Linked DNA regions of Pelodiscus sinensis. The protein of the gene in region 2 interacts with the protein of the main gene of each other region in a pairwise test. Links are inferred from orthologs where the notes say so. Each region holds a gene or a part of one and is shown on either strand. Other genes may lie near its edges.

Region 1 (6,193 bases), on a different chromosome or scaffold from region 2:
TAGAAAAGTCGGGTCAATAAAATTCAACTGCACAGTGATTATAAAGTACTTCCTTACTACTTCCTAAAAATGCACTGAAAATTTAAAAAGTCCTGCCTCAGTACTGAGTGAAATAGACCTACATTTTCTTCAAGTGTAGCAGGCAGCTAGCATGGCAACATTTTGTACTATGCTCTATATTACAATCACCTGTACAATTGGAACTTTTACTCACTCTTTAAAACAGCTGCGAGATCCAAACATGGCTCGTAAGCAAGAGGATGAGGAAGGATCTCCCCCTTTAACCTGCCATTTCTGCAGAGGGAGATTTTTAAATAAAAAGTTACATTGTTCTTTTTCCCCTCAAAAACTGAAATGCCAGTATGTCTGCCAAATTGCCAAGAATCCTGCCAAAGGTAGATAATAGTCTATTCCTATACATATTCCATCAATTTCCACAACATTAAAAATAAATAAAGACAGAATGTAAAGAATCTGTGCTAAAGAAATGTCTTAACTTAAATCCTGCATTTCTCAATATTTGATATGTGCACAATAGAATTATCAGAAGGCTTCAACAACCAGATGATCAAGAGAAATACAATTTTTTAAGACTACCATAGACAAGAAAGGACTGCCAAGAAACAGCCTCACATTTGGAGCACACAGCAAATTGTACGTATAGAGAATTGTACAAATGATTTTGGAAGCAATTGTTGACTAAGGTGAATTCACAGCAGACTTTCTGACTAGGTTCTTGTTTCATTTCAGTTTGCTTTTTTTTTTTTTTTTTCTTATGAGGTTTAACAAATAATTTGCTAAGAATTCTGTATAGTTGCACTATTATGCAAGAACATTATCCAAGAGGACATGAAAGGATAAAATATATCCAATCGCAAACTTATGTAAACAATACTTCAATTTTTTTTCTCAATATCTAAGATGCTTAAATGGGTGATTGGTTTGTCACAGAATATCACTGCAATCTGAGACAGCTTCAAGAGACTGGCTCAATATGTACAGATTAAAATTCATTTCAGACCTTGTATAACTAAGGGCATGCTCTAAGTCAAAGGAGTGGCATCAATTTCAGCCAAGCCTGAATATAGAGTTTCAGTAAATTTCTTTCCATGCATTTCAAAATTTACCTTTTAAAAATAAAACTATATATACCAAAACATCTAAACTTTTAAAGCTATTCCAAAGAACTGTGAAGTTGCTAGTGTATTAATATTACACATTCTGAGTATCAAGTGACTATGATGGCTCAGTCTTACCTGTAATGTTCATACCAGTTCTATTAATGAAACTAGTTTCCCTTTCAACGGCCTAGACTATTAGATGTTAAGTTACCAGCAGTCAGAAAAGAAAAATATTCTCAAGGACTGATGCTCAATTTTAGAATTTTGTAGTACTGCTTCCATTCAGTTAAATATTAAACAACATGGTGGGTAATTATTTCATGTGACTATGGAAGTAGATAGTTGTTTCACATTCATTCAATGTAGATATAGTTCTTTTAGGAAACAGAAGAAGTGGGATGTATTGCCTAGACCCTTAGAAACTGCCTTAGACTAAAAAAAACAAATAATTTCAGATGCTGAACAGAAACATATAATTATCTCAAATGACGATCAACATTTACCTTCTCAGCAATACTATATAAAACTTCATCCATTTTCATACAAGTTGGATCCCAGTCATGTCCAAACCGGATGACCACCACACGGTCTTCTTCTGAAAGAATGGCCTGGTCTACTTGCCAGCCATTGTGTAAGTGAGGAAGCATATACGACATCTTTAAACTTTATGTAACACCTGGAAAAGGACAGAAACCATCTAAGAACTTACAATTCTACTTCCTGATATCTACTTAACTTTAATTATAAACACTTGTCAATTAATTCTATTTAAACTGATGTACATATACCCAGACCTAACTTATTCCTTTTAAAACACCCCCCCAAATATTATTGATAGTGAAATACTTCTGATAAAGACTACCCAATTTTCCTAATCCTGTGTCTATACTGTGCTTTTTCTTAGTATTTCCCACCATTGCAGCTTCATCACCAGTATTTTCTAGTATAGAATGACAGTGAGCATTTTTACTATTGTGTGACCTCCTAGCCTGTGTCAGAACAGCCCTCAATGACATGTTAATTATTTACACTGTGACCTCTCTACACAAGTGCTACCACTGGCATTAAAGTAGTGGTGGGAGATGTTTAAGGAAATGCTCAGTATGGATCAGGACCAAGGTTCACATGACAACCATCAGCCAGTCCAGAAAGATCTCCTGTCCAGGAATGGGAAGAACGGAGAGAAACTCTTTCAGCCCTCATGATCTCCATTCCCTTATTTTCAGTCTTTTACCAATAGGCCCAGCAATATCAGCAGTCAAGTCAGATGTACTGTACCACATTCAGAGATCTAACAAATTTTCTCCGAAATTCACCATTTTTAAATGAGTTGTTACTACCAGGGGTGCTGGAACGATTTGCATAGTGGGGCTGCCAAGAACCATTGAATCAAACTGTAAAACATGTGCATAATGGAAACCACGGCAAGCCAAGGGGTATGGAAGCAGCCCTAGCACTGCTAGTTCCAGGACCGAAGATTACTATAAACCCCTGCATGGTGGGGATTAGGGATGTTAAAATGTGGTTAACTGACTAGTTGAGTAAGTCAATGAAATTTCCACCGATTACTCGACAGGCACTTCCGCATTCATCCTTCAAACTGTACAAGAGACCCTGCTGGGGCTCTTGTACATTTCAAAGGAGGAACATGGAACTCCACAGGTGCCTGTTTGAAATGTACAAGAGTCCCCAGTGGGAGGCTCTTGTGCATTTCAAAGCCATGGAGCCCCGGGTCAGTGGGGGACTATAAGTCCCCCGCTGACCCGGGACTCCATGCTGTGCTGCATGCCACTTGGAGTCCGGGGTCAGCTCCGCTGCTTCACTGCTGACCCCAGTTCCGCACAGCATTTCAGTGGAACCCAGGATCAACTGGGGCCTCCCCAGCTGACCCCAGGCTCCGTGGCTCCCCCTTTGAAACATGGAGGCAGCAGAGTCCCCAGCTGACTTTGGGCATGTTGAAAGGGCAGCGCTGCACAGCTGAGCTGTGAATCAGCTGTACTGGGGCTGCAGGCAGTACCGCACAGCTGATCCCTGGCTCAGCTGTGCGGAGCTGTGGCTTTGAAATACCCCTTCCCCCCCTTTGCTGCCTCTATCTTATGGAGGCAGTACAGGGGAGGGGAGGAATCAACTAGTTGACTAGTCCTCAACACCCTTAGCGGGGGATGGTGCGATGTTGGTGTTGCCACCAGGGAGGGCAAAGTGGTGCAAATGGGGCCAATGACATGGGGCCATTAAAATCCATAAAAAAACATAACAGCCCCTCCCCCGGCACACCCCCTTATGGCCCCTTCCATGGCACCGCCTGTAGCCCCTCCCCCAGCGTCCCTCCCACCTCCATGGCCACTCCCACAGTGCCCCCGTCACCCCTCCCCCACACGCTTCCCAAGGGTCCCGCCTTCGCCTCTCCCCCTCCCCTCAGCGCCCCCTCCCCACCCCCACAGCCTCTCCCAGGGCCCCCACACCGTTCCCCAGGGCCCCTCTCATACAGGCCCCCCACGGCCCCCCCTACTGCCCTTCATGCTGCCCTCACAGCAGCGGCCCGGGGGGAGGTTCATGCGGCTCCCCTCCCAGAACAGTCCGCGCGCAGCCCGCCCTGCGACCCCCGGGGCACCCACCTCCCACAGAGCAACCGCCGCTGCTGACACCACGCGCCACAACGGCCCGACCGCGCCGCGAGCCCCTCGGGGACCAGCCGGGGGCGCACTCCCATGCGCAGCGCTTTACGAGCTCCCGGAGAGGGCGCCGGAAGTGACGGAGTGCGTGCCCCGGCAGAACACCGCCACGGGCGGAAGGAGTGGTCTCGCCATCTTGCTTGAGGGCTTCCCTTCAGGGGGTGAGTTTTTGCTGTTTTCTGACGGGTCCCTGTACGAACGTGGAGAGGTGGAGCAAACCAACTCCCTAAAACGGCGGGGGGGGGGGGGGATCATTAAATAGGCGTTTAAACTCTTAGTTTCTCATGTTAGTTGTAACAAGATATCTCACCGCCTGATGCCCCAATGGAGAGATCCAGCGAATCACGTATGTAAATACGTACCTGTGTACGTCCTGCTGCTCCAGGCAATATTTCGCCATTGCTTGCGCAGTTCTTTGTACAGCCCTGCCCACGCACAAAGTGGATGCATTTTGCACTCGCTTTGGGTGCGTCTAGACCACAAGCCTCTTTCGAAAGAGAGTGTCTAGACTGCAGCCTCTTCTTTCGGAAAAGCGAGCTGCTTTTTCCACAGTGCGCACCCCGGCAGTCTGGATGCTCTCTTTCGAAAAAGCCCTGTTTGCATTCAAGAACGCCTTTTTTCAAAAGAATGGTGATAGAAATGTAGCCGTGTTAGTCTGGGGTAGTTGAAGCAAAATGCAGGACAATGTAGCACTTTAAAGACTAACAAGATGGTTTATTAGATGATGAGCTTTCGTGGGCCAGACCCACTTCCTCAGATCAAATAATGGAAGAAAGTAGTCACAACCATATATACCAAAGGATACAATTAAAAAAATGAACAAATATGAAAAGCACAAATCACATTGCAGAACAGAAGGGGGATGTGGGGGGGGGGGGGGGAGGAAGGAAGGTAAGTGTCTGTGAATTGATGATATTAGAGGTGGGGAGAGTGGGATGTTTGTGAGTTAATGGTATTAGAGGTGATAATTGGGGAAACTATCTTGGTAATGGGTGAGATAGTTCAAATGTTTGTTAAGTCCTTGTTGGCAAGTGTCGAATTTTAACATGAATGACAGTTCAGAGGATTCCCTTTCAAGTGCAGATGTAAAACATCTCAGACACTTCATTATAAAACTGACAATAATGTGTTCACTTTTTTTTCATTGTATTCCTTTGGTATATGTGGTCATGCCAATTCTCTTCCAGATTTTGATCTGAGGAAGTGGGTCTGGCCCACGAAAGCTCATCACCTAATAAACCATCTTGTTAGTCTTTAAGGTGCTACATAGTTTTTCCTTTTCTTTTAGCAAGATCAGACTAACATGGCTACATCTCTATCACTGGACCATTGTGGGTGTGTCTACACTGCAATCAGGCAGTTCAGTTATACTATACATAGGCATTCCTGGCTGAGTTAGCTTTGATAACTTTTGATAAAGCTAACTTGCTGAAAAATTGTAATGTAGTTGCAGCAGCATAGATAGCAGAATGGGATACGTACTCCTAGAACCACAGGTATGGACTTGAGCTAGCTTGTACTGCTGCCTGAACTCCTGTGGCTAGTCTGCTATTTTTAGTGAGTTAGCTCAGTTAGAGCTAGCTCAGATATGCTTACTTGTATCTGTTATCCCAGTTGCTTTGTAGATATACCCAGCATCAGAGCATTGTATTAAGAGTAGGGTGAGGAGTCACGGTCTGCAAAAATAGGGGGGTTTTAACTTCTGCTTATGAATGTAGAGAAAGTATTTCTAAAATAAGTACAGATCTGAGTGAGAAGGAAGGTTAATGCACTAAGAACAAAAAGTGTAATTCCACTATTTTCTCTTTCATTCTAAAGACAGTCAGTGAAGAGATTTTATCCTGGATGATTAATCTAATTTTCCCTGATTAGGAGGTTGTGCTGCATGATGCTTTAAGAATTCTAATGTCTGCATGTGGTTAGAGTAGACTCTAATAAGGTTTGCAACAGTGTGAATTGCAGAGTTCAAAAGTCTTGTCAGTTGACAGCAGCCACACCTAGAATAGATTGGACTTTTTCACTGTACTAACATGATTACTTTGTTCATTAAATTACTTTATTTTCTTGATCTTGTTCTGGTCAGTTACTGTCCTTTATATTAAAATGCATGATCAGCTGATTGGGCATGGGGAGACAAATTGGCTGCAAAGCATTGGCATATGAAAATTATAAAGGTTTTTTCCTTACGGAGTGCTCATGCTCTGCAACTTTAGTTAAAAAGTAACTTTTTAACTCCAGTGCCCATAGACCCTTAAAAAAATCTATTTATTATTTACAGGGAATCTTCTTTAGTCAACAAAGATCTGAATTATTTCTTCTAAGAAATGGTTTAAATGTATGCTTGTTAAACTGTCTGTATAATATTTTATTTTGTAGGGGCATGTCTTCAAACATTGGACC
Region 2 (6,193 bases):
ACATCTCCTTATTCTATTTTCCCACACTATTCATGATTCTTTAATCCTATAACATATCCCCCCGCCCTTTAGTCATTTATTTTCCAAGCTGGAAAGTCCCAGTCTTTTAAATCACTCCTCACGTGGAAGATATTTCTTACCCCTAATCATTTCTGTTGCCCTTTCTGTACCTTTTCCAAATCCAATAGATTTTTTTTTAAAGATAGGGCAACCAGAAATGCATGCAATATTCAAGATGTGGGCAAATCATGACTTTATGTAGAGGCAATATATTTTCTCTCTCATTACCTATTTCCTTCCTGATGATTTCCAATATTTGGTTAGCTTTTTAGATTGCTACTGCACACTGAGCAGATATTTTCAGGAAACTATCCACAATGATTCCAAGATCTCTTTCTTGAGTGGTAACAGTTATTTTAGACCCCCCATCATTTTTGTAGGCATAGTTGATACTATATTTTTCCATGTGCATTCACCTCACTGATTACCCCTTTTTCAAGATCATCTATTACATATTTGAGTGAGTTTGTCTGTCTATCCATCTGTCTGTTTGTTCAAGAGCTTCTCCTAAATAGAGCTATGACCACCAAATTTGATATACAACTTCCTTTGATCATAACTCAGAGCAGGGCTACTCAACTTTGGAAGACACAGGGGCCACAGTGATACTCACAGCACATGCCGAGGGCCACAACTTAAATGTGGTTGCAAATACATGCAAATATATATGCAAATATATGCAAATAGCATCTCACACTGATGGTTATGAATAGAAAGATTAAGGCAAAACGTAGGGCCCATCTAAGTCAGCTCTGCTGATATTAATTAAGTGCAATATATACCCAATTTCCACCCATCTGACAGCACTTTTAATGAGCAATGACAGTCCAGGAATTTAACTACTAAAACACATATCAACAGAAGACCATTATATTGACTACTTTTTTGTTTTGGCTCCCACCCATGGGCTGCAAACAAACAGGCCACAGGCCACATGCGGCCCATAGGCCGTGTGTTGAGTAGCCCTGACTTAAAGCAAGGTCAGGGTTTGGTTGTGTCAGGAAAATGGGATGTGCATGGAATGGGATGAATTGCGTCTCAGAAAACCATCCAGAAAAGAAAAAGAATCATAAGGCAGGTAAAAGGGTCTGGCTGGGGGTGCTTCTCCCTCCCCCGAGATTGCCCAAGCCTCTGCACCCTTTAAGGAGAGCAGTGGGCTGCTACAGGAACATTACTGGCTGTTCCTCTTTGTCAGGGAGCAAGGGGGAAAGTGCACAGCTTGCTGCATTCCTCACTCTGGCTGGGGAGTGCAGGGGGCAGATGAACCAGGACTCACACTCCTCCCCAAACAGCATGTGCCTGGAACAGGATTCTCATGAAACCAAACTGAAAAGAGACAGAATCACCAAATCAAGTACAGGCCTCAAAACTGACAAAACAGAGCAAATGTAGGAAATGAGCTCAGGGCAGGCCGAGGGAGGGTAGGGGCTCAGGGCAGGTATGTAGGAGCCACCTCTGTTTGCTGTCTCCAGCACAGGCTGGGTCTAGAGAGGGCTGTGCCTCCGCCCTAACTGTGGAGCTCTGTGCTGGAGCCAGGGGATGGGGGATGCCCCCCCCAACCCCAACTTCATCTGCTCCATGCTGGGACCAGAGGAGGGGGCACCTCTCCCCCAGCATGAGGGATAGCTCAGTGGTTTGAGCATTGGCCTGCTAAACCCAGGGTTGAGTTCAATCCTTGTGGAGGCCATTTGGGGCAAAAATTTGTCAGGGATGGTACTTGGTTCTGCTGTGAAGGCAGGGGACTGGACTCGATGACCTTTCAAGGTCCCTTCCAGTTCTAAGAGATAGGCAATCTCCATTATAAAAATATATATATATATATATATATAAAAAGCCATGGCACCCAACTGAGAGCTGCTACTGCCAGGGGACAGGTGGTCCTGTCCTTACATGGCCTCTCCCCAGATTAACTTGGACCTGCCCCAGCCAGGGGATTTGCACCCCTCTCCAGCTGTGCCCACTGAGCAGCCAGGGAGAGGCACTTCTCACCTGGCTCCAAGCTGCTGAGGTGAGAGAGGGCTGGGGTTGTCCTCAGGGCAGCCTGCAAATTGTCTCCCCCAGCCCAGAGAAATGATTTAAGTGAAGTGGGTACATTTTCAATTTACTTAAACAAAAAATTAACCTGAGCAAGGCTGGGTAAATCTTCTAGTTTATGAATAAGTTGAACAGCAGTGCTCCAGGAACACACCACTATTTATTACTACTCTCTCCCCCCCCCTTCTTTCAAGTGGAGTGCTTGGCAATGTTTTCATGATCATCTAAGGATCCCTCAGTTACCTGAAGGACAAGCCCTTTTCTCTTACTCAGCCTGCCTCCCTCTGCTTATAAACAAATTCCCTGCCCCCAAATACCAAGCTGGGAGCAGCACCAACTCTGGTGTGCTTAAGAGCTGCCTCTGGAGCCAGGGCAGGTGCCAGACCTCAAGTATGAAATCCAGGAGTCCAAACTTTAGGTGGGGCTACAGTCTCCCCCCTCCCCTGCTCCCCTCTTAAATGGCACCCTTGACGGAAGGGGGCAGATACACAGTAGGGCAGGGGGTAAACCATCGAGGCAGTCAGTGTGGAAGCAGCTCTGGAAGCGGTGGGGGTCCATGCGGAGTGGTGGTGGAAGAGTCAGGGAGTGGAGACCTCCCACGTGCTCTGTGCTTGTGTGTGTGTAGAACCACGTGGTCCCGTTTCCTTCCCTTCGGTTTAATGAATGGAGCCTGGCGCTCCCTGAGCGCATGCGCCGTCCCCGCTCTCCTCCCTCCTCGGAGTCGTCCCCGCCCCTCCGGCAGGGACGTCGGCCAATAGCAGCGGCGGCTTCGCAATGTTGTGGTCACGTGGGAGGCCGGGTGTTGTGGCTGCGACGACGGCCCCGCCCGGGCGGGCTCTTTATCGCTCTGGTTGTGGTGCCCGCCCTGCTCTGCCCCCTCCCGCCCCACGCGGCGTGGGCGCTGTCCGCACGGGCCATGCCACTGGTGCGCTACCGGAAGGTGGTGATCCTGGGCTACCGCTCCGTGGGTGAGTGGGGGGGGGGGTCTCCCTGCAGGACCGGGGGGGGGGTGCATGGAGCCGGCGGGGGGAGGGGGGCGATGCACGGGTCGCTTGCGGGGCCCGTGGGCGGGAGGGGCTCTGCAGGGAAGGGGGAAGCCGCGGGGGCTGGCGTGGGGTGGGGAGGGGCTGTGGCTCCTATGTGAGGTGGGGACGAGCAGCCTGCGCTGTGGGTTTCCGGCTTCCTGGCCCAGCTCTCGCACGCTTGGAGCTGATGAGCAGCATCTGTGGCAGGCGGGGGGGGGGGGGGGGGGGGTCTTGCTCAGCTGCCCCCAGGCGCGCCCCGGAGCTGGGGAAGTTATGGCCACTTTCCGGGGTGTGCTGCCCTCTGAGTCTTTGCTGTCTTCCCCCCCCCCCCCCCCCCAGCTGATCCTCCCTCGGGAGGAGCTGGGGGGGGGAAGGGGAGGCTAGGGGTCATGTGGGGTCAGTTTGCCATTCAACCACATGGCCTGCGAGGAGAGGGAGGAAATGACCGGGGTCAGAGGTCGGCCTTGGGAAGTGGCTCATTTCCTTAGATCTAGTTTCTAACATTCAGCTTTAAAAAAAAAAAAGTCTCAGAGGGATAGTCCTGTTAGTCTGTAACTTGTGTGCCTGGGTGCCCAGTCCTAAGGGCCTGCCCTGGGCAGGCAAAGGGGGGGGGGGGCTAGTCTGCTAAAGTCAGAAGCCCCCATCTCCAACAGTGGGTCGGCAGCATGGGGTTTGGGCGAGAGGGTTTAAATCCTGCTTCTGCTCAAACTATTGCCTCTAAACCCCTCACCCCTGACATGGCCAAGCAGAAGGGATGCCCTTAGTGCTGGTGTGAATTTGGAAGCTGAGTTTGGAAGTTCCCAGCACACCTTTATGGGGGTGTACACATGGGTGGCCTTGCCATGTTGGTCTCTGTGAAAGGGCAAGGAGGGGGCTCCTAGCAGCAGCAAAAGTTAAGGGCCTGTCCATTAGGCTCAGGCGGGGGCCCCGGTCTCAAGGACCCTGGTGTAAGGACCCTGGTGTACGTTGTAATTGACTAGCTTCTTAGCTGGCGCGGGCCAGCTGCAGGGGTCTGACTGCCGTGTGCGCTGTGCCTGCCGCATTCACAGCAACACGGTTTCAAATCTCTTCCCTCCAGGTAAAACCTCCCTGGCTCATCAGTTCATCGACGGGGAATTCCTGGAGTGCTATGACCCTACAGTGGAAAGCAGTGAGTCCAGGGCCCTTTTCAGGCTGAGTGAGCCTGTAGTGGGCATTGCATTGCGCTTATTTATCCCCATAGTGCTTAGGGCCCCCACCAAAACTGGCCTCCAGGGGAGGTGTTGTGGAGATTCCCCCCCCCCTTGTTTAAAGATTTGGGGGAATAGAAACACTGAAGTGGGGGGGAGGGGACTTGGCAAAGTGATGCAGCTGAGTCAACAGAGCCTTGTTCAGCACCCATCCACTCGACCAGCCTGCCGGATGCACACGCTGTGGTTCTTGGATAGGTCTAGGAACACGCGGTGTCTAGGGTAGAACTCACAAGTGCTCAGATGCCCATTAAAGTGCCAGCTGTTGGGGATGGGATATGGGAGAAAGTGACTTCCTTGCCTGGAATCCAGAGCCTTCTGCAGGAGGCAGGGCGGGTGGCAGGGTTACCTCCATCAGGGCTCCATCTCTAGCTTCAGGGATCAGCGACCGAGGGCGAGAATCTGGTTCAAGGGGGCCTTTAAGCTGAAAGGCCACGTGCTGCATGTGGGTTGGGGTGGCGGGGGGTGTTTCCTTTTGCGTTTGCTGCAAACCCCTCCCTCCTTCCTGCCCTTGGCTGTTTCTAGCCCCTTCCTGCTTTTCATGAGCCCTCCACCCCCAATAGAGCGAGGCGGTTGGGTGGGCGTTACTGAGGCTTGCCTGTTGTCCGGAAACGCAGCCATTCCTCCGGCTGCACTTAGTGTCTGTGGAGCAGCAGGTCCTGTGTGTGAAATCGCAGGAGAGCTGCTGGGTCCCAGCTAGGCGTAGAGGGTACCACAGGCCAGAGCTTCCCCTTAGCGCATTGTGGAGTCTCTGTGGCTGCCTCATGCTTGCAAATCCACTCTTGGTTGACATCCGCAGAGGAAGCTGCATCCCTTCTGGGGGGAGGAGGGAGGGCAGGATCCGCTGGGACTCCTCCAGCTCAAATGTTTCCAAGTTGGGCTTTGGTTCTGTGCGAAGCCAGCTGGGCAGGACAAACCCAACCGACAGGAGAGCTGATCTAAGCCTGGGGGGACTGGTACAGCCCCCTGGTACCAGCCCAGCAGGACCCACACCAGTGGGGGGAGCTGCATCCGACAGGCTGTGCGCAGAAGCCCAGGGGCTTGTCTCCTAGTCACTGCTCCTTCAGCAACCGGAACCCGGGGCGGGAGCGGATGCCCTTCAGGGATTGATCCTGGGACCTCTGGGTCCAAAGGGCCAGGCTGTTGGCTATGGGGAGGAGTGGACTTGTAAGCCTGTGCCTGGCCTGGCCACCAGAGGGCAGCAGGGAGCGGTCGGGCTGGGTGTGGGGACTGTTCCCTGTAACAGGTCTCTGCGATTGATTCCCCCAGCCTACAACAAAATGCTGATGGTGGGAAAGGATGAATTTCACCTCCAGCTGGTGGATACTGCAGGGCAGGTAAGACCTGGGGGGGAAACGGGTGTAGCTTTCCACATGGTGCTTCCTCCTGACGGGTCTCCCTCTCCACCCCCAAAAGGGATATATGATGCAGCCATCTCTGGCATGGAACCTTTCCCTTATCATGGCAGCCGTTTAGATCAGGAAGGGTGAAATCCTGTCTCAAGACCAGAAGGACAGTTAGGGAGGGGGGTAGAATTTGGTCAGGTCCCTCCCCCCTCCCAAAAATAACACCGTTTCAGTGGTTCTGTGTTTCCAAAGGAATTAACCTCCAGCAGCAGTAGTGTCCTGTAGCATCATGCTGGGGCACTAGCCACCTAGAGAGAAAAGTACCCCCCCCCCCAAAAAAAAACCCACCACCTGGGCTTTCTGTGGTCTGCGGGAGGGTCTCCCACCCATGTGCCAACCTGGCTCGATTCTGTTTAGCGTGGGCTGGGCTCCCGTGTCTCGGCAGGGTGGGATGCTGTAATAAAGTGGGGTGGGGGAAGAAGCTGTCTTGTCTATTTCT

Evidence for each region.
Region 1: the proteins of RHEBL1 (region 2) and TXNL4A interact in a two-hybrid assay, tested with the Homo sapiens proteins (2 studies listed by BioGRID and IntAct). The link is inferred for Pelodiscus sinensis from reciprocal best matches to the Homo sapiens genes RHEBL1 and TXNL4A.

Annotation. Positions count from the first base shown.
Region 1 is NC_134712.1:100,808,037-100,814,229, forward strand, and holds the start of TXNL4A (thioredoxin-like protein 4A), read right to left. Parts: upstream 3,873-6,193; 5' UTR 3,737-3,872; intron 1,798-3,736; 5' UTR 1,778-1,797; coding exon 1,625-1,777; intron 295-1,624; exon of another isoform or gene 215-294; intron 1-214. Other genes in the region: putative 2-ketogluconate reductase, read left to right, coding at 4,110-4,139. UniProt on the Homo sapiens protein: Plays a role in pre-mRNA splicing as component of the U5 snRNP and U4/U6-U5 tri-snRNP complexes that are involved in spliceosome assembly, and as component of the precatalytic spliceosome (spliceosome B complex).
Region 2 is NC_134729.1:4,912,485-4,918,677, forward strand, and holds the start of RHEBL1 (GTPase RhebL1), read left to right. Parts: upstream 1-2,866; 5' UTR 2,867-3,010; coding exon 3,011-3,062; intron 3,063-4,197; coding exon 4,198-4,269; intron 4,270-5,617; coding exon 5,618-5,685; intron 5,686-6,193.